Linked DNA regions of Stegostoma tigrinum. The protein of the gene in region 2 purifies or fractionates together with the protein of the main gene of each other region. This does not show direct contact. Links are inferred from orthologs where the notes say so. Each region holds a gene or a part of one and is shown on either strand. Other genes may lie near its edges.

What was found.
Region 1: the proteins of cbx1b (region 2) and zinc finger protein 644-like purify together in Homo sapiens (affinity purification with mass spectrometry; 3 studies listed by BioGRID and IntAct, with this or other methods). This does not show direct contact. The link is inferred for Stegostoma tigrinum from reciprocal best matches to the Homo sapiens genes CBX1 and ZNF644.

What each region holds. Positions count from the first base shown.
Region 1 is NC_081361.1:87,620,236-87,631,210, reverse strand, and holds the start of zinc finger protein 644-like, read right to left. Parts: upstream 4,627-10,975; 5' UTR 4,315-4,626; coding exon 3,968-4,314; intron 3,919-3,967; exon of another isoform or gene 3,825-3,918; intron 3,776-3,824; exon of another isoform or gene 3,637-3,775; intron 1-3,636.
Region 2 is NC_081384.1:3,310,011-3,320,636, forward strand, and holds the start of cbx1b (chromobox protein homolog 1b), read right to left. Parts: upstream 3,987-10,626; 5' UTR 3,864-3,986; coding exon 3,860-3,863; intron 2,937-3,859; exon of another isoform or gene 2,914-2,936; intron 2,908-2,913; exon of another isoform or gene 2,778-2,907; intron 1-2,777. UniProt on the Homo sapiens protein: Component of heterochromatin. Recognizes and binds histone H3 tails methylated at 'Lys-9', leading to epigenetic repression. Interaction with lamin B receptor (LBR) can contribute to the association of the heterochromatin with the inner nuclear membrane.

The DNA.
Region 1 (10,975 bases), on a different chromosome or scaffold from region 2:
AGGTATGGAGTACCCTCCCAACTTCAGCAGTTTGTGCAAAGGTCTCTTTGTTCCTACACCTCCTCTGGAATTGCACCCTTTAATGTATATTGCCTCTCTTCATTCTTGCTACTGAAAAGCACACATTTCCATTTCACAGTTCAACAACAAACCTACCCATTTCACCTGCCTATGGTCCTCCTGAGATCAATCATTATCAAATATCATAAAGTTTCCACGTTTTGTACCATCTTGATACTTTTAAATTATGCCCTTCACACCCAAAATTTAGGCCATTAATGGAAGATACAAGAAAAGCAATAGCTCTAGTGCCATTCCATACAGATCTTTGTACACTTTCCTCCCATCCTAAAATAACCAACTCCTTATCCATGTTACAGCCATCTCTCTTTTATTTAACATTCCTGGAAATCCTATGTGTCACTTTGTCAAATGCTGTCCGGAGGTCCATGAACACCACGTCATCTTAATCAACCTTTCCCACTACTCTCCAAAACTTAGTTGTGCACAATTTGACTTCAACAAATCTGTTCCCTTAATGAATAATCCAAATGGTCAGACATAAACCAGATTAAGATAACTGAAACATCAAATAAATTTTTAAACATCATTATGAAATTCCATATTTGAAAACAGAAGTTCTCATTGGTAATTATGAAAGAATTGCCCCATTAAAAGCTCCTTTACCACAACTTTTAAGAGTTTTGTTTACACCAAGACTAACACTGTAAAAAGGCAAATTCTTTTAATTGTAATTATTTTCGTTAACTGCTGCATGCAGGAACTTCAACAGTGCAATGTACTGAAAAGAACAGAATCAAATTACAGCAAATTCTAACTAGATTTCTTCCTTTAGCCGTGCACATGGTTTTCAGAACTTAACTGTCCATTTTATAACAGCGAACACTGATGAATGTAGACTGGGTGACCATGTTGCAGAAGACTTCCACTCCATGCTTAAGTAGGACCCCCAATCTTCCCTTGGCCAGTCGTTTTAACGACTTGCATGGCCACATGTCTGTCCTCGGCATGCTGCAATGCTCCATCGAATCATAGTGCAAACTGAAGGAACAACATCTCGTCTTCAAACCACGCACTTTACAACCTTGTGGACTTAATATTGAGTTCTGCGCCTCCAGATTGTGAACCCACTCCCATTTCTTTTCGCTTTACATGTGGTATTCTCTGTCACCGTGACCTCTCTCCCCTCCCCCCTCCACTCCACCGGGGCCATCTGTTCTTTCTAGCTTGGCAGTTGGACACACCACCATTTTGCCATTCTCACATTCCAATCAATTAATCAGCATGCTTTCTCCACCAGCACTCCACTACTCTTCTATTGCATAACTGCTGCTCACTCCTCATTTCATGTCAACTCTTATGAAGAGTCACCTAGTCTCAAAACATTAGCTTGCTCTATCTCTACCGATGCTGCCTGACCCACTGCAATTTGCAGCATTTGTTGTTTTCAGTACAGCTTCCAGGATCTGCAGTAAATTTACTCCTACTGATGATTTCTTTGTCAACATAATGGCAAAATCCAAACCATACAAAAGTGAAATCATTGAGCAAAATAACCATTTTAACATGTTCCTACACAAGACATTGCAGAGGAATATTATAACGTGAAATCAAGCCAATGTGCATTAAAGTAAGAACTTAGTATTTGAGGAGGCACAGACATGCACTTTTCCATCATGAATACTTTTAAGCAGATCCAATACAAAGCAATATGACATATTTTGTATTAAATCAGCCAAGTTGTAATCATAGATCCAACTTCAGATTCTTCCCAACTTTTAATTAGAAAAAACTAGATAGAATAGGTCTATGCTGAACATTAACAGTTGTTCATCACAAAGCTTGACAAATTTTAAAAGTGTTTACAGATCATTCCATCAGGTATAAACCAATACAATTTGGATATGTACAACTTCCAAGTCCTTATACCACATTTACTTATACTTACTTTTATAAAACTTTGTTTGCTTACCAATGCAAAGCTTCTATGGAGAGCTTCAGCCAGCTCTGTGCTTTCACATTGTCCTTGTAGTGCTTCATTTGGCTAATCTAAAAATTCCACTTAAGAGTTTTCATGTCAACAATTTAAGACTCCTGGGAGAAACTCATTCAGAATCCATGTACATGGAACAACAAACCAAAAATAAACATTGTGGCTTCCTTTGAAAATAGGAATTTTCCCTCTGCTTCAGGTAGATGTTGGACAGGATTCCAAAACCAACTTGTCCAAAGCTCCGAGATAACAGGGTGTAGAGCTGGATGAACACAGCAGGCCAAGCAGCATCTTAGGAGCACAACTTCTGATGAAGGGTCTAGGCCCGAAACGTCAGCTTTTGTGCTCCTAAGATGCTGCTTGGCCTGCTGTGTTCATCCAGCTCCACACTTTGTCGTCATCAATTATCTGCTGTATCCTTTTGCAACAGAACTTTCCAGGTCTAGATCACCTCAGTAGTTACCTGCCCGAACCCTATTAAACACCTCAGATGACTCAAAAGGACAAACAAAAACTTTATTACTCTATTTATAGAGCAAATCAGCTAAGTTTAATTAAATGGTGGTGACAATTCTGTGTTATTCACACCCAGCTGGGTTACAGTGTGTGAGAAAATAATCCAGCTTGAAATGTTTAATGGACAAGATTATACGTCTTTTAAACTAGACATTAAAATAACTACAAAATTACATGCAAAATGAATGCAGGCCAAATGCTCATACTGGAAACCAATTATTATGGAGGCTTTCAAAAGAGTATTTGTAGACTCCTTGGCCAAAGATAGCTTACAAATATTTAAAGCACACTGAATATTATTGTGACAACATGCCACAGAAAGCAAGTTAAAGGTCCTACAAGAATCTTGCACTATTAAGTTAAATTCAGGAAAATCAGCCTCAGTACACAAAAAAAAACAAAAACCAAGATTAGACAGCATCAGACTCTTGTATTTCTGGATCTAATGCACTTGTCCTGCACCCAACTCCACATAACCATTAGTTATGAAATAGTTGGAAAAAATTTTAGTGTCCCTTGAAGGGCTTATCATAAACTGCAACTGATTAAAGTATATCAAAAAGGAGGGGGCAAAATTTCAAAATTTACAGCTATTTAGAAATTTTATGCAAGAATTCAAAAACATAAATTCATGACACTATGTTAAAGTTCCTCTAGATTTAAGTTACTTGGGATCCATTGTACAGCCATTATTCTATGATGGCATTTGGAAAAAAAAACTTCAGTTGCCTTACATAGAATCCAAAGATTAGTGGTATTGTACATCATTGACCTTGGATTTGGTAACAAACGCCACCAAACACCATACAAAACAAATAAGAGCAAGTTTAAAGGCAGACAATCCAGTTTGGAGTCATAGACTTTGAAGCACAGCACAGTTCCTTTCAATTCCTACAACACACTCCTGACATGCTTTCCCCCATTTTGCCCACAATCAATGCCAGTGTTCAGTTTATGCGTGTGGATGAGTCGCAGTGCAGAGCAGAACCTATTCAAATTAAAGAACTGCACAAAGCTCAAAAATTGACATTGAAAAAGGGGTAACCCAACTTTTGTTGTTGGAGTAGTGGGAACTAGCATGATAAAACCCAAGATTGGGGGAGGGGACGGGGTGGAAGAATTGGTCCGAGATGCCATGTTGCGTGGCAAAGGAAGACATGCAAGTAGTGTGTGCCCCGTCCCGCCTGAATTGTCTGTCACGCTGTCGAATCGCTGGGTCCAAACTACAACCCAACAACCAAGGAGGTGGGGGGGAAGAGAGAGAGGGAGAGAGAAAGGAGGGGGGAGGGGGGATTGGTGGTGGAATGGATGGCAAGCAAAAAAAAGCAAAACTCCCAACCGATCGTCGTCCTCCCCCACCCCCATCCACCGCTCTCTCTCTACTGTCGGTGAGCTTATTGCGACGGGAAGGAGGAAAAAAAACACACACGCACGTACCTTTTATTTTGGCACAAGGGAGTGCGCGGAGGAGCGGCGGGCCGGGTTTTTATTGTCAGCGCTCGTCCTCCATCCATCCAGGCACGGCCGCCATTTTGCTCGCTATTGTGCCCGGAGATGGTGAAGGCGGGAGGTTGGGGGGAGGGGAGGTTAAAAGAAAGGGGGCGGTGGGACGCCGGCCGTTGCTGAGCCCTGCCCGCGGCAACCGGGTTGGTGTGTGACGGGGGGAAAGTGGGGGTTTTGCTGGTATCGGCTGGGTACAGCCCGATGGTCGGCTTCCTGTCAGAAACGCGAGCGGGCGCAGTCCTTTGTCCCCGCCAAGTGCGTGTTTGTTCTTCCACCACCATCACCAACCGTCTCCTGTTTTTCTCCCCCCACCCCCCCAACGACAACCGCCTTCCTCCTTTCCCTCCGCCAGTGGAGGCGCCTTCCTCTCACAGCCGCCTCTCTCTGTTGTCGCTGTTTCTTTTTAAACATACATAAGTGGCAGCTGGGGCTTCAGGAAAGCGTGGAAATGGTGTCGGCTTCCTGACCAGGTGAGAGAGAGCAGGATTCTGACTATTCACTCACTGGAAAAGAAATATTTTGGATGGTTTGTGTGTTGGGGGGGGGGTCAGGGAGTGGAAAGAGGTCAAAACAAAAACCACTGCTCGTTTTTCTCGCAGCACCCGGTTTCCTGTCTGAAGAAAAACAAAATGGGAATGAACTCCCATCAGATCAACAAGGCAGGTGTCAACTCGAAGGAAACTCGACGCTGCAAGAAAAGTAATAATCAATGGCCAATTGGGCCAGCGCCCCATGGGACACTGGGAAACCAGGCCTTCAGGAGAAAGGGACCAAATAACAGTTTGTCTTTTGGGGAGTGAATAAAGTAAACATCTGTCGAGCCTTTTTAAAACAAATCAATCTTTCATCACCACACATGGGAAGATCGTTGAAACGTGCGGTTATTTTAATAGTTGCGTGGATGTTTTGCAAAGAGGCCGTTGCAAAGAATGTCTTAATTAATATTCCGGAAGATGTTTACCGGAATACTGCTGACTCCATGACTCTTGGCTCTCTGGCTGCTAGTGCTGGACAACACGTTCTCGGAAATTGTTGACAAACGATTTTAACTGCTTATCTACAGTTCAGGCATGATTCCTCGCTAAACTCCAGCACTCGATCTTTCACCAGTAGATTCCCAGCATATCATTTTTATTGATCTGTTTGCCATTTATCGTTACAGTCCTTTGCAAATAAAATGGTTGTTTTCAGCCATTGTTTTGGTTGCATTTCTTCACATCGTATACGTCCTACTCAACAATACCACTGTTTACATGAATTTTCTTTCAGCGAAGAGATAAATTGCTTCCATGTTTAGCTACTTAGAACATAGTGCAAGCAAAATAATGCAACTCCACAGGCATGGACCAAGCTTCAGCTGTGTAAGACAGCACCACCATTTTAAATGGAAATTCACATAAACAAATTAAAGTAATACAAACACAATTCCAAATTTCCAATTCCAAAAGCAGCTAAAAAGTTTAATGGAAAAGAAGATTTTGAACAATTGTGATAGTAATGGGAAAAAAGTGTTATATCAGGATTTCAATCACCCATATTCAATCATTGAAATAACTACAGGGAAAGAATACGGATGGATTTTGGTATGTCGAAAATATTAAATGAGTAACTTGTGTCAATTTTCACTTTTGAAGATCATTGAAATAACTACAGGGAAAGAATATGGATGGATTTTGGTATGTCAAAAATATTAAATGAGTACCTTGTATCAATTTTCACTTTTGAGGATGATGCTTAACCAGTAGAATTCAACAATGTCACTAATTAACATTGTTAATATTAAAAACAATATTATTTTAGAATTAAGAACCTTGACATAAAACAGTAGATCATTGAAAGGATATCCATCCAGTGGGTCTCAAGGAAACAGGATAAGGGTCTCCTAACACCCTTCTTGCAACCCTCCCCAAGCTAAACCAACCACCCCCCCACCTCCCCCATAGACTGGAAGAAGACTAATATTCCTTTTTTAATGAGGGAGATAAGACAGAATAGGATACCTTTAGGCCTAGTAGTTTGTTGTCAGTAATAAAGAGGGATGATTAGATATGTACTATTTAGCTACTTAAAGTAGGATATATCAGGAAGACCCAACATGGCCAGAAAAGGGTCCTGTCCCACATTTCAGTTCACTTTATGAAGCATTTATCAAAATAGTGAATGAGGTAAACATTTCCTCAGTTTTCAAAATGTCAGAAAGGAGGTGATGGTATTGTCACTGAGATTGGTAATCCAGAAACCCAGGTATTGTACTAAGGACCTGGATTCAAATTCCACCATGGCAAATGGTGGAATTTGAATGCAATAAATATCTGAGTGATGGCCAAAAAACTATTGTCATCAAAACTTATCTAGTTCACAAACATCATTCAGAAAGAGAAAACGTGATCTGGCCTACAGAGCCACAGAAATGTGGTTTCCTCTTAAGTACCACTAGCAATGGACTCTGTTGTCTCTAACTTTAAAAAAAGAGAATAAAACTAGACAGACCATCCGGCATCAACCAAGACACCCAGAAATGATAATGGCCTGTTGATCCTGCAAAGTCCTTCTCACCAACATGTAAGGGCTAGTGCCAAGATTAGGAGAGCTATCAGCCTGACATGCTCATACTCAAAGAATCATACCTTACATGTATCATTCTTGACAACACCATCATTATCCCTGTCCCATCACCAGGACAAATGCAGCAGATGTTGAGACACAGTGGTATACAGTCAGGAGGTAGTTTCTGCAGGAGTTTTCAACATTGAAAGCAGACCTTGTGAATCTCATATGTCAGGTCAGACATGGGCAAGGAAAGCTTCTGCTGATTACTACAAACTGATCCCCACCTCAGACGATGACTCAGTGTACTATGCTGAACACCACTTGGAAAAAAAACTAAAGGTGGCAAGGGCACAGAATGTCCTTTGATTAGGCAATTTCAGAGTCCATTGCCAATGGAAGCATCACTACTGACTGAGTTGGTCAAGTCCTAAAGAACATAGCTGCTATACCAGATCTGTGGCAAGTAGTGATGGAACCGACAAGAGTGAAAAATGTACTTGACCTCATTCCCATTGATCTTCCTGCGGTAGATGCGATCTGTCATGACAACATTAATAAGACTGACCACAGCACAATCCTTATGGAGACAAAGTCCTGCCTTCGTATTGATCATTGACGCCATGCTGAATGAAATAGACTTTGAACATATCTCCCAAATCAAGATTAGACATGCATGATGCACTGCGGACTGACAGCAGCGGCAGAATTGTACACCCACCAATGGCAACCTCATGGCCTGGGCAAATCCCTGCAACACTATCATCAAGTCTGGTTCAATGAAGAAGGCTGGAGCAGAACCAGGCCTACTTGCACATCAGGTGTTAACCTGGTGAAGCTACGAAACAATACCACTACAAGATAAAACAGTGTAAGCAGCAAGTGATATACAGAGCTAAGTGATTCCAAAAACAAAGCTCTTCAGACCTGCCACATCCGGTCATGGCTGGTAGTGTGCAATTTAAAAAGTGATTGGCAGGATGAGGATCTACAAATATCCCCATTCTCAACAATGATAATACATTAGTGCAAAAGGACGAAAGCATTTGCAACAATCTTCAGCCAAGAGTGCCAAGTAGATGATCCGTCTGGCCTCCTCCCAAGATCACTAGCGACAATAGTACTGAAGAAGTACACTCCAGATTTGCCACTCCCTTCAAGCTGTTCTAGTACAGCTATAACACAAGCATCTATCCAACAATGTGAGAACTTCCAACCTGACCCTATTAGTTTAATCTCAATCATCAGTGAATTTATGACAAGTGTCATCAACAGTGCTACTGAGCAATGTTTGCTTAGCGATAACCTGCTCACCCTGGTTTCTGCCAGGGTATCTCAATTCCTCACTATGTTATATCTTTGCTTCAATGCTGAGCTCCCAAGGGGACGTGAAAATGACTGTGCTTGACATCAAAATTGTATTTGACTGAATATGGCATTAAGGAACGCTAGCAGGCTTGGAGTCAATGGGAATTAAGGGAGAACTCTCTTTTGGTTGGGGTTACACCTGACACAAACCTGGTTATGGTTGGTGGAGGTCAGACACCTCAGCTCCAGGATGGTTGTACAGGAATTCCTCAGGGTAGTGTCCTAGGTCTAACCATCTTCAGCTGCTTCAGTAATATCCTGTCATAAGGTCAGAAGTAGGGATGTTCACTGATGATTGCACAATGTTCTAAATAAATTGTAAATCTTCAGATACTGAAGCAATCTGTGTCCAAATGTAACAAGTTCAGGACAAAATTCAGGTTTGGCCTGACAAGTGACAAGTAAGTGCCAAGCAATGAATATCTCCAATATGAGAATCTGATCATTGCCCTTGACATACAATGATTTCTCAATCGTACAATTCCTGAATTTCAGCATCTGGGGCTTAAAATTGACTAGGAACTAAGGAGTGGCACGGTGGCTCAGTGGTTAGTACTGCTGCCTCACAGCGCCAGGGACTTGGGTTCAATTCCACCCTCAGGTGACAGTCTGCGTGGAGTTTGCATGTTCTCTCCATGTCTGTGTGGGTTTCGCCCAGGTACTCTGGTTTCCTCCCACAGTCCAAAGATATGCAGGCTAGGTGGATTGGCCATGCTAAGTTGCCTGTATTGTTTAGGGATGTGTAGCTTCGATGGGTTATAGGGGGATAGGTCTTTGTGGGATGTTCCAAGGATCAGTGTGGATTCATTGGACCAAAGGCCCTGTTTCCACACTGTAGGGATTCTATGAATACAAATCATTATGAACACTGTGGCTACAAGATCAGGTCACAGCCACGAATCTTGTTGCATTTAACTCACCTCGTGACTCCCCAAAGCCTGACCACCATTTACAAGGCACAAGTTGAACTGCAGATGCTGGAGAATCCGACATAACAAAGTGTGGAGCTGGATGAACACAGCAGGCCAAGCACCATCTTAGGAGAAGAAAAGCTGACATTTTGGAAGGGTCTAGGCCTGAAACGTTAACTTTTGAGCTCATAAGGTGCTGCTTGGCCTGCCGTGTTCATCCAGCTCCACACTTTGTTATCAAAAGTTGAGATCATGATGGAAAACTCCACACTCGGCTGGATGAATGCAGCACCAACAAAACTCAAGAAGCTTGATGCCATCCAGCACAAAGCAGCTTATTTGATTGGCACCATATCTATAAACATCCAGTCCCTCCACCCACAATACTCAGCCAGGCAGAAATTTGAATGTATATTGAATTTTGTACAATGTGTGAACTGCCTTCCAAGGGATCTGTTGTCTCTTTGCTTATCAAACTGTTCAATGCCACTGTCTCCCTTGCTGGTTTGGAGTTGACAGGAAAAGTTGCTCAATGTCTGCATTTAATAGGGTTGGCTTCTGGTTAGTAATTGAAAGTAAAGTAGGGGATCAGTTGGCTGGATGGCTGCTTTGCGACACAGAGTGATGCCAATAACATGCGTTCAATTCCTGCACAAGCTGAGGTTACCCTAACTCTCCTTAACCTGTCTTCCACTTGAAGTGTGTTAACTCTCTGGTTAAACCACCACCAGTCGTCTGTCTTTAATGAGAGAGCAACCCTATTGTGTAGTAACACCATAGTAATTTTACCTTCAATAATTGAAAAGGTTTTGTCCCTGGGACCAGTCTGTGTATTGAGCAGGGTCATTTTCTCCAAAGCTGAAATAATCCCTGGCAAAAAAAACACTTTTGGATTAAAAATGATCACACTTCACAAGGTATGGTGGCAACAGTGGTTATGTTACCAAACCAGTAATCTGAAGGCCTGGACTGATGACTTTGAGATGAGTTCAAATCTCACCATGGCAGGTAGATTTTAAAATCAGTTAAATAATTACATTTGAAATAAAAAGCTGGCAATATTAATCATGACCATGTTTCACAAATGCCCTATGGAGGAGAAAATCTATCTTTATCTGGTCTCACCCATATGTGACTTCAGACCCATAATAATGTGGTTGACTCTTAATCATTCTCTAAATTTGCCTTGCAAACTATGTCATATCTCTAAAACAATTAGGGATTAGCATTAAAAACTTAAATAATTATTTTCAGTGATGATGACATTTGTGAATTATTTATTAAAATTATGTGATAAAATAAAGCCTTTGTCCTTACTTAGCCTTAGCTGGAATGCTATGCCTAGTCTCAGTCTCTTTATATAGTTGCAGTTCATGAATCATTCCAATAGGTATCCTGTTGTCTTGTGTAAGGACCTCTAATATTTAACAAGGCCTTTTGTGGCTAGGATCTTGACCATATTGCTATCTCCAGGCTTAGATAAATTAAAAACTGCCAATAGGATACCAGTTCTCGGGGAGCAGAAAGATTGGTGATAGAAACAAACTTAGATGCAGCCAGACCTGCTGAATTCTCCCATATTATGGAGTCATAGAGTCCTACAGCATGGAGACAGGCCCTTCAGCCCAAACTGGTCTATGCTGACCAAAATGTCAATCCACGACAAAACCATTTCTCTACACTTGGCCCATATATTTCTGAATCTTTCCTATCCATGTAGTCATCCAAATGCCTTTTTAATGTTGTACCCATCTCAACCACTTCTGCTGGCATCTCATTCCATTTGCATACCAACCTCTGTGTAAAAAAAAGTTGCCCTCAGGTTCCCATTTATTCTTTCCCCTCTAACTTTACACCTGATGCCCTCTAGTCCTTGATTCTCTAACTCTGGGAAAAAGACTGAGTGCATTCACCCTATCTATGCCCCTCATGATCTTAATCACTTCTATAAGATCCCTCCTCAGTCTCCTACGCTCGAAAGAAAGAAGTCCTAGTTTTTTCAACCTCTCCCTATAACACAGTCCCTTGAGTCTTAGCAACATCCTTGTAAATTTCTTCTGCAATCTTTCCAATTTAATAACATCTTTCCTATAGCAAGGTTACCAAAACTGAACAC
Region 2 (10,626 bases):
GTATTACACACACATATATATACACACACTGAAATGATTCCTCTGAAGCTGACTTTCATAAGAGGACTTTGAAAATTATGTCCATCATCAATGCAGGGGTTTCAGTATCATCTTGCATAAGAAATTAATTCCCTCCTAATTCTAGACAGCAACAAGCTTCATGTTCTATATTTTACATTGTAAACCCCTTCCCCTAAACAAGTTCTTCATTATGAAATGTGAATATTTACAGTCCCAGTATGTGTAGCCAACAGTCTGGATTACCTAATCACCTATTTAGAACATTTTTGGAAAACTAGTCTAAAACATGTAGTTTTGCTTGATGTAGACCTTTATCAAAGAGGAATTGGTTAAAAAGCCATATTGATGCAAACAGGGAGATGATGATTAGGGCCGTGAGGAGCTGCAGTCAGTTGAGATTGCATGTCCGAGTACAAATGTTTGCAACCCACATGGCAACACATTGGGTGTCTTGCCATGTCAGACCTGCGGTCAAGCTTACAAGCAGGCTTGCTGGCAGCAAGTTACAATCCACAGCCCAGTTTTAACTGTTCACAGCTTGCTGCTGCTGGGCTACAGGAGCAGGGAGGCAGCTTGGAGGTCAAAGTGCCTATTCACAAAATGAAACCTATGAAATTTAATCCTGTATCACAAGTAAGAAAAATTCTTGTAAGCAACGGTGGGACTTTAAGGCAAAATTATTCGAGTCACAGTTGACTGGAACCAAATGACACTGCCATTCCCCAACAAAAAAAACTGTCAGGATGTAACCTGGCTAGGCCCATATGACTAGATTCCTTTCATCACAAACTAGTGGTTTTAATAAACCTTTGCTTCCAACACCATTATAACTTGTCTGACAGGTCCATATTCAAAAACGTTCATTTACACTATTGACCAATATTTGCACTAAACTGTACACTAATTCTTGACAGCATTATGTACTGATTGTGAACTCATGAGACACTAAATCTGTTACTGGAATATGAACCAGGTGTTAACACAACCTTAGAAACAAGCTCAGAAACCAGATCTCCTGGCTGGAATTAGAATTAAAACAGCAGCAATGGAAAAGCAGCTTCTCTAAGCCCTGCTGCTCTGCAGAGATTGCTCATTAAGAATCAGCTCACATTCTCCTCGCCTCCTCTTCTGTCAAAGGATTTTTTAAGAAGATATATAGATTTAGTATTTCTGGGTGTCATTTTATTTTAAGGCAATTTTTATTGCAGAGTACCAATTAGTGCAACAGACTCAGAGTCAGTACCGACCAAAATAGTGGTTTCAATGAGATCCTATGCTGCATCACAGCCAGTTTCACAGTACTATTATTGCCTGGCAAATTTCACTGTATCCTGGCAACAACTTCATGAGTATACCTCTTAAACAAGATGAAGTACAGTAACGGGTGCATAACCTCATTCAGATCAACAACTGGTTATTCTGAAAAATTGTCACCGGAGGCTTTGATTAAAGTGTCAGTTTTGTCTCAGTGGCAGCATTTTCACCTTGGCGTTAGAAGATAGTGGATTCTAATTCCCCCACATCCAGGCTGACCTGTCTTGTACTATCCAAAATATCTAACATCTGATAAGACCTTAAGTGCCATCTGCCTTCTTAGATGAATGCAAAATATCCACAGCAACTCTGAAAAACAGCAGAGTTCTCCCTGGTGTCTCCATCTCTTACCCTTCAACAAATATCACTAAAAATATGTTCTGAAGGAGTCATACCAAGCTTCAAATATTAATTGATTATATCTCTACAGATGCTGCCAGTCTTGAGTTTCTTCAACATTTTGTTTGAAATTATTAAAGACCTGACCACTTCCACATTATTGTTTGAGAGGTTTCTGTGTCTAAACTGGTTGCTACACTTCCCACATCATTAAGCAGTGACTATATTTCAAAACTACTTCTTGGTTGAAAAGAGCTGCATGATGATCTGAGTTTGTGAAAGGCATGGTATAATTTGGCACCAGTTGAAGAGAACCATCTGCTAAACCTCTGCCAAAGATCTGGCTGACAAGATAGCGCCAAGGAAGAAACTCTCTTCCTTCTCCTGCACTGTGTGGGTCAAAACGTGCACAAAATAAAACACGATTCACAGCAGAGCAAATTATTGAATGAATGCTGCTGTCCAGTTGTTAAAGGAAGTCACCACAACAAATAGCAACGTGACATGATCAGTTAATCTCTCCGCAATAAATAAACTCCTTCATCGACTAGAATCATTCATTGTTTCTCTCTCAGTGGATAATGCTAGATCTGTTAAGCACTTCCAGCATTTTGAGATTCTTACAGGTTTAACATCTGAAGTATGTTTCTCTCAGATTAACAATTATCCATTTAGATAACCCTCATTTGGCTCCTGCGTTGTTAGTAAGGGGGGGCGGGAATAACGGTCAGGACACGGTGTCCTGATCTTCTGAACGAGTGGACGCGGGATCTTTAACATCCCACAGCATCACTCCATTTAGCGTCCCACCGAAATGATGGCACGTCTGGCAGTGCAGCACCCCCTCAGTACAGCACCACACAGCGTTGGCCTAGATTGTGCGCTCAAGTCTCTGCGGTGGGGCTTGAACCCACCATCTTCTGACTTTAGAGGCCAAATGCCACCCACCGAAACCCAACTGACGCCTTCAAATTGGGCGGGGAATGAAGGAGGATTCAGTGAAGTGGGAAAAAATATTTTCAAATTAATGCAACGAGTCGCCGTTAAGCTGCAGGTGGTGTTTGCAACTTTAAAAAGGGAACGTTTAAAATGCAAACCCGTACCTTTTATAAAAAGGAGCGGCCGACGGTAATACTAGTATTTTAAACCGTCTTCAAATCCCACGATTACTATAATCTAAGAAAACAAATCTTGCAAAAATACACAAGCTGTTTTGGTAAAAATGTAAAAGAAACACACACAAACAAAAGGCTTCTTCACAACCCGCCACGGTGACCGAGCGCCGCCAGTGCGCAGGCGCGGGAAATTCCAACATGGCGCCCAGTGGTGGGGGTTGCTGGGAGTTGTAGTCCACGCCGGCCCTGCTTCCCGCCTTCATGGGGGCCTTCAAAACCCGCTACTCCGGGGCTAAAGAAGGGAGGGCGTCGGCCACATTCCCGTCGCATATCCTCCCCGCTCCTGCCTGGGGAGAGGGTAGCCTCCCCGCTTCGAAAGGAGCAGATTTTCGTCTTCTTTTCAGTGGCTCGGAGCGCCCGCCCATGCGCAGTGAGGCGCCGCCACCGCCGGACTACAAACCGCGCGCGGCACAAATGTACCCGGGACAGGGACCAAACATTGGATTTCGGTGAAAAAATGTGCTTCGTTTTCCCCCCAAAAGTGCAAGTTCTTCGTAGAAACACGACTGTGAACGTGCATTTAAAATCCTCTGCATAAAGTAAATACAATTCTCAGCGTTAAAACATTCCTCTATGATCCCGCATGGCGCACGCGCACTAATCAAAGCAAGTTCATGTTTTTTTAAAATGACACCCTTTTTCTCGCAAATGAAAAGAAATTGACGCGGCATTTCAAAAAAAAATAAAATCAAGTCCTTGGCGACGAGGATAACTTCGATTGAGGAAAGGAGATGCTTTTGAATGGTCAGGCCGCGGCCTAGGCCCAGGGATCGGCACAAAAAACCCCGAGACACAATAAAGCCCGAGGCCGCCCTCCCCTCACATACCACCTCCCCCCCCAACTTAAACACCATACAAACAACAACCCTTCACCTTCACCACCCCTGCGCCGCTGACCAAAAATTACAAAGGGCGAACGGACAAGAAGCAGCGGGATACCGACCCCCTTTCTTCGGTTTTGTTTTAAAGATTTTTTAAAAAAAATAAATAAAAGAGTGGAAATGCTTTACCCATGTTGCCGCTAAAGATGGTGGCGTGCCGGGGAGTCGGAACCAATCTGCGGGATGGGGCGAGTAGCCGGAGCTCGGGAGGAGGCGGACCCGGGGCTTGTGGGTGGGCGGCGGTTTGTGGGGTTGGCGGGGAGTGGGGGGAAAAGATGCTGCTGCACTCGGTCACAACCGTCCTGAGGTAAATCCACGGCGATTAAACGGGGCCTGTTGGTTTTTCAACGAAAAGAAACCTACGGCTGATTATTAACTGCTGCGCCTTGGCCCCGGCTTCAAGTGATTGTGTTACTGCTACCTATTTATTTTGACCTGATAAACTCAGGGGGAGGTTCGGCCAGAGGTGGTGACTGCAGACTGTTAGGATCACAGAAATCACCAGAAGCAATCATTTTAAACCATGGACTATTCCAGTGCTATCCTGGCTACCTCGTCTTCCACTCAGAGGTGCTGTCGTGATGCGGTGGAAGTGCGCCTATCCCGAAATTAGGAGCCCTAGGTTCAAATCCCTCCTGTTCCAGAGGTTAACACCTCTGACCAGGTTGATTATAATATGTGATAATGGGAACTGCAGATGCTGGAGAATCCGAGATAACAAGGTGTGGAACTGGATGAACGCAGCAGGCCAAGCAGCATCTCAGGAGCAGGAATGCTCACGTTTCGGGCCTAGACCCTTCATCAGAGATTATAATATGTCTTCTACTCCATCAAAATTCAAGCTCAACCATAACCCTGCTGCTCGGACCTCGCTCGGCTACATTGTTGCCTGGTCCTGCAACACTTCGATTTTGAAATTCTTATTTCTAAATCTTCCAGTGACCTTTCCCCTTGTCAATTTCTCTCACTTCCCCCAGGTCTGAGATGTCTTAGGCACCTCAAATTCTTTCCTTTTGAGTACCCCTGATTTTCATCACTCTACAGTTGGAACCTATGTTTTCAGCTGTAACCACCACTTCTGAAATTTCCTCTTTAAACCTGTCCACCTCTGTTGCCTCCTTTAACATCCTTCTGAAAAGCTATATGTTTGGCTGAGCTTTTAGTCACTTGTGTCAGTATTTCCTTTTGGAGTTTGGTGTCACATTGTGCCTGATTGATGCTCTTGTGAAGTAGCTTGGATTGTTTTACCATGTTAAATCTGTTAAAGTTGCAACTTTTGTTAGCTTCCCCATTTTAAAGTTGCATCAACATTAAGTAATTATGAAACATGCTGGTCTGGTCAGCTCAAGGGCATGGGCCTTGATACTGAAATGAAATGTGAATGTTACTATCTGGGCAAATATTTATTACATAACCCAACTGCTCTTGAGATGGCGATGCTGAGCTGCTTTCTTGAATTGCTGAAGTTGATCTGGCCTTTTTAAAACCAACTTGGAAGAAGGCACTAAGTTAGGCCAGTATCATCAAACAAAAGACACTCTTGTTCTTGGCTACTTCAATTTTCTGCCCAAAGGCAAGTTTCATTCACAAAACTCTGATCTCCACCATGGCTCCAAAAGGGTCCTGAACTCAGCTCAGTCAGAAGAGGGTTTGAATCAAATGCTGTTGGTAGAGATCTGACCCGTATCGACTGCTTGGTCAGCTGAAGCAAACAACCAAACAATCTGAGTCAACTTTGTAATGGCAGTGGTGGGTGAGATCTTCTGAAATGATGATTGCTAGTGTTTTCTGGTGTAAATCCATGTCACTGTTGTTGGCCAAATGTAGGTCTTATTTTCAGCAAGGGGATCACTAAGGATGTAAATGAAAGGCCAGTGTCTATTTCTTATGTTCTTATTTTTACCAAGCTGAATGCTAGTTTTGGATTCAGTGTGTATGATGCTGATTGTCACGAGTTTGAGACTGATTGTCAATTATTAAGACAGCCAATAGAGAAAATCTGATTTGAACAGAAGTCCCAGGGTTAAAGATAGTATTCTAATTTCAATAATTCATTTCTCATAGCTAGAACCACAGAATTGTACAGCACAGAAACAGACCATCCGGTCCAACTGGTCCATGTCGACCAGATATCTTGTATAAATCTAGTCCCATTTGGCCCATATCCATCTAAATCCTTCCTCTTCATATACACATCCAGATGCCTTTTAAATGTTGTAATTGTACCAGTTCCACCACTTCCTCTAGCAGCTCATTCCACACACGCACTATCCTCTGTGTGAAAAAAGTTGCCCGTTAGGTTCCTTTTAAATCCTTTCCCTCTCACCTTAAACCTGTGTCCTCTCGTTTTGGTCTTCCCTGGGGAAAAGACCTGGCCTACTTACTCAAACCATGCCCCTCATGATTTTATAAACCTGCATAAGGCCACCCCCTCAGCCTCTGACACTTCAGGGAAAATAGCCCCAGCCTGTTCAGCCTCCCCCGATAACTCAAACACTCCAACCCTGACATCCTTGTAAATCTTTTCTGAACCCTTTCAAGTTTCACAACAGCTTTCCTATAGCAAGGAGACCAGATTTGCATGCAATTTTTCAATAGTGGCCTAATCAATGTTGTGTACAGGCACAACATGACCTCCCAACTCCTCTACTCAATTCATTGACCAATAAAAGCAAGCGTACCAAATGCAGCCTTCACTGTCCAATCTAACTGCGACTCCACTTTCAACGAACTACAGACCTGCGTGCCAAGGTCTCTTTGTTCATCAACACGCCCCAGGACCTAACTACTAAGTGTATAAGTCTTGCCCTAATTTGCCTTTACAAAATGTGGCACCTCACATTTATTTAAATTAAACTCCTCGGCCCACTGGTCATCTGATCGAGGTTCCGTGTACTCTGAGGTAATCTTCTTGGCCATCCATTCCACCTCCAATTTGGTGTCATCTGCAAACTTACTGATCATACCTCCTGTGTTCACATCCAAATCATTTATATAAAATGACAAAAAGCAGTGGACCCAGCACCGATTCTTGTGGCCTCCAGTCTGAAAAGTAACTGTCCATTGCCACCCTCCCATCTTATGAAATAATTCACATTTTGGTGCAATGCAGCGCCTTAGACTCCAGTCATATTCAGTTTCCCTTTGAAGTGCTAATACCCTCGCGTGATTATGACAGTAGCTGTTTGATTACGCTGAGACGGGGATTGAGGTGGGGCAAGGCACATCACAAATGAACTCTTCTCCGTACGTGCCCCATCTAACATTCATACAAACATATGAATCTGGAGGAGAAGTAGGCCATTCAACTCTTCAAGTTTGCTCTGCCATTCGGTAAAATCATAGCTGATCAATTTATGTTCCAAATTCCTTGTAGAATCATAGAGTTATACACCATGGAAGCAGACCCTTCAATCCAATTCATCTGCACTGATCAGATATCCTAAACTGATCTAGTCCCATTTGCCAGCATTTGGCTCATATCCCTGTCAACCCTTTCTGTTCATGTGCTGAACTAGATTTGTTTTAAGCATGATTGTAACAGCCTCCACCACCACCTCTGGCAGCTCATTCCATCCATACACACACCCACCTCTGTGTGAAAAAGTTGCATCTTAGGTCCTTTTTAATTCTTTCACCCCTGTCATCTGCCCCCAATAACTTTGATTCCCCTGCGTAATAAGAACCTATCACCTCCACTTTAAAAATTTTCAACTATTCTGCTTCCCCCCGCTCCTGGAGCTGAATTCCACTTTATGTTCCATTGGTCAACTTTCTGTCCACTCACCTAATCTATGGTATCGACCTCCATCCTTGATATATCATCTTCACAAATAAAATCTACTTTTCTTTGTGTTACCTGCAAACTTAGCCACTGTGCCTTGAATCCCTTCATCTGTGTCAGTGATATAAATTGTAAAATGTGATCTGCCCAGCACAGACCTCCGTGGGTCCCTACTTGTGACGTGCTGCCAAACTGAAACAGATCTATTTATGCATACTCTTCATTTTTTGCCAGTTAGCCAACTATCTATCCGTGCAAATATGTTACTCCCTACACCATGAATTCCTATTTTCCATGATATCATTTTACGTGGAACCTTGTTAAATGCCTTCTGGAAATCAATGTACAATATATCAATGTACACCTCTTTATCCACAGGTCATATGACATCAAAGAACCCCAATAAGTAGATTATATACAATTTCCTTTTCACAAAGCCATGCTAACTCTTTCAGGTCATCTTGGATTTTTCCCAGTGCCCAGTTATAATGTCTTTAATGATCAATTCTAAAATTTTTCCACAACACAAGTCAAATAACTGGCCCAAAGTATCTTGTTTATGCCTCCCTCCCTTCTTAGAGTCATACAGTACAGAAACAGACCCTTTGGTCTGACCATGTTCCCAAAGCGAGCTAGTCCCACTGCCAACCCTTGGCCGATATCCCTCCAAACCTTTCCTACTCATGAGCTTATCCAAATAAGGGAACCGCGTCTCCCGCATTTCCCGCAACACAACCCTCACACCCCGCCCCCGTTCTCACACACCACCCCACCAACCTCCAGACACAACGCATCATCCTCCGACACTTCCGCCATCTACAATCCGACCCCACCACCCAAGACATTTTTCCATCCCCACCCTTGTCTGCTTTCTGGAGAGACCACTCTCTCCGTGACTCCCTTGTTCGCTCCACACTGCCCTCCAACCCCACCACACCCGGCACCTTTCCCTGCAATCGCAGGAAATGTTACACTTGCCCCCACACCTCCTCCCTCACCCCTATCCCAGGCCCCAAGATGACTTTCCATATTAAGCAGAGGTTCACCTGCACATCTGCCAATGTGGTATACTGTATCCATTGTACCCGGTGTGGCTTCCTCTACATTGGGGAAACCAAGCGGAGGCTTGGGGACCGCTTTGCAGAACACCTCCGCTCGGTTCGCAATAAACAACTGCACCTCCCAGTCGCAAACCATTTCCACTCCCCCTCTCATTCTTTAGATGACATGTCCATCATGGGCCTCCTGCAGTGCCACAATGATGCCACCCAAAGGTTGCAGGAACAGCAACTCATATTCCGCTTGGGAACCCTGCAGCCCAATGGTATCAATGTGGACTTCACCAGCTTCAAAATCTCCCCTTCCCCCACGGCATCCCAAAACCAGCCCAGTTCGTCCCCTCCCCCCACTGCACCACACAACCAACCCAGCTCTTCCCCTCCACCCACTGCATCCCGAAACCAGCCCAGCCTGTCTCTGTCTCCCTAAGCTGTTCTTCCTCTCACCCATCCCTTCCTCCCGCCGCACCTCCATCTCCTACGTACCAACCTCATCCCACCTCCTTGACCTGTCCGTCTTTCCTGGACTGACCTATCCCCTCCCTACCTCCCCACCTATACTGTCCTCTCCATCTATCCTCTTTTCTCTCCATCTTCGGTCCGCTTCCCCCTCGCTCCCTATTTATTCCAGAACCCTCACCTCATCCCCCTCTCTGATGAAGGGTCTAGGCCCGAAATGTCAGCTTTTGTGCTCCTGAGATGCTGCTTGGCCTGCTGTGTTCATCCAGCCTCACATTTTATTATCTTGGATTCTCCAGCATCTGCAGTTCCCATTATCACTTATATTTACTACTCCCCAGTCTAATGGAACCTTCCAGAATTTAATGGAGTTTGGAAAATTAATACCAACACATCTGTTATGTCATTAGTCACCTCCTTGAGGGTGTCTATGTGCATAGTTCCCTGAACGTTGCCACCCAGATAGATAGGGTTGTTAAGAAGTCGTATGGTGTGTTAGGTTTTATTGGTAGAGGGATTGAGTTTCAGAGCCATGAGGCCATGTTGCAGCTGTACAAAACTGTGGTGTGGCCACACTTGGAGTATTGTGTACAGTTCTGGTCGCTGCATTATTGGAAGGACGTGGAAGAATTGGAAAGGGTGCAGAGATTTACCAGGATGTTGCCTGGTCTGGAGGGAAGGTCTTATGAGGAAAGGCTGAGGGACTTGAAGCTGTTTTCGTTAGAGAGAAAAAGGTTAAGAGGTGACCTAATAGAGACACACAGGATGATCAGAGGATTAGATAGTGAGAGCCTTTTTCCTTGTATGGAGATGGCTAGCACGAAGGGACATAGCTTTAAATTGTGGGGTTATAGATATAGGTCAGATGTCAGAGGTAGGTTCCTTACTCAGAGTAGTAAGGGCGTGGAATGCCCTGCCTGCAACAGTAATAGACTCGCCAAGTTTAAGGGCATTTAAATGGTCATTGGATAAACATATGGATGATAATGGAATAGTGCAGGTTAGATGGGCTTCAGATTGGTTTCACAGGTCGTTGCAACATCAAGAGTCGAAGGGCCTGTACTGCGCTGTAGTGTTCCATGTTCTATGTTCAAAGATGCCATCCACCTGGATCTGGAGACTTATCAACCTGCAACTCCACCTGTTTTGGTCAATACAGTCTCCCTAATGATTATGATTTCGTGAAGTTCGTCTCTTCCTCCAACCACCTGATTTATAGTTATTACTGGGATTATTTTTGTATCCTGTTTAGTGAAGACAGAATCAAAATATTTATTCACTACATCAATCATTTCTTTATTATCCACAATTAACTCTCTATTCTTGCCCTATGGAGGACCAACACTCACTTCATTTTTTTTCATGTGCCTTTAGAAACTGCCTGTTTTTATATTTCTGGCTTTCTCTTACGCTTTAGTTTGTCCTGATTAACTGTATCATCATTCTCTGCTGTTCTTTGTATTCTGACTAATCATCTCTTTAACCTGAAATCAGCCATCTCAGACTGCACAGAAAACCGGGGATTTTCTGCCTTACTCTGTCTTTACTGGACACATTTCTGATAAATAGCAAGTTTTTAGTTGGTAAATAGTCCT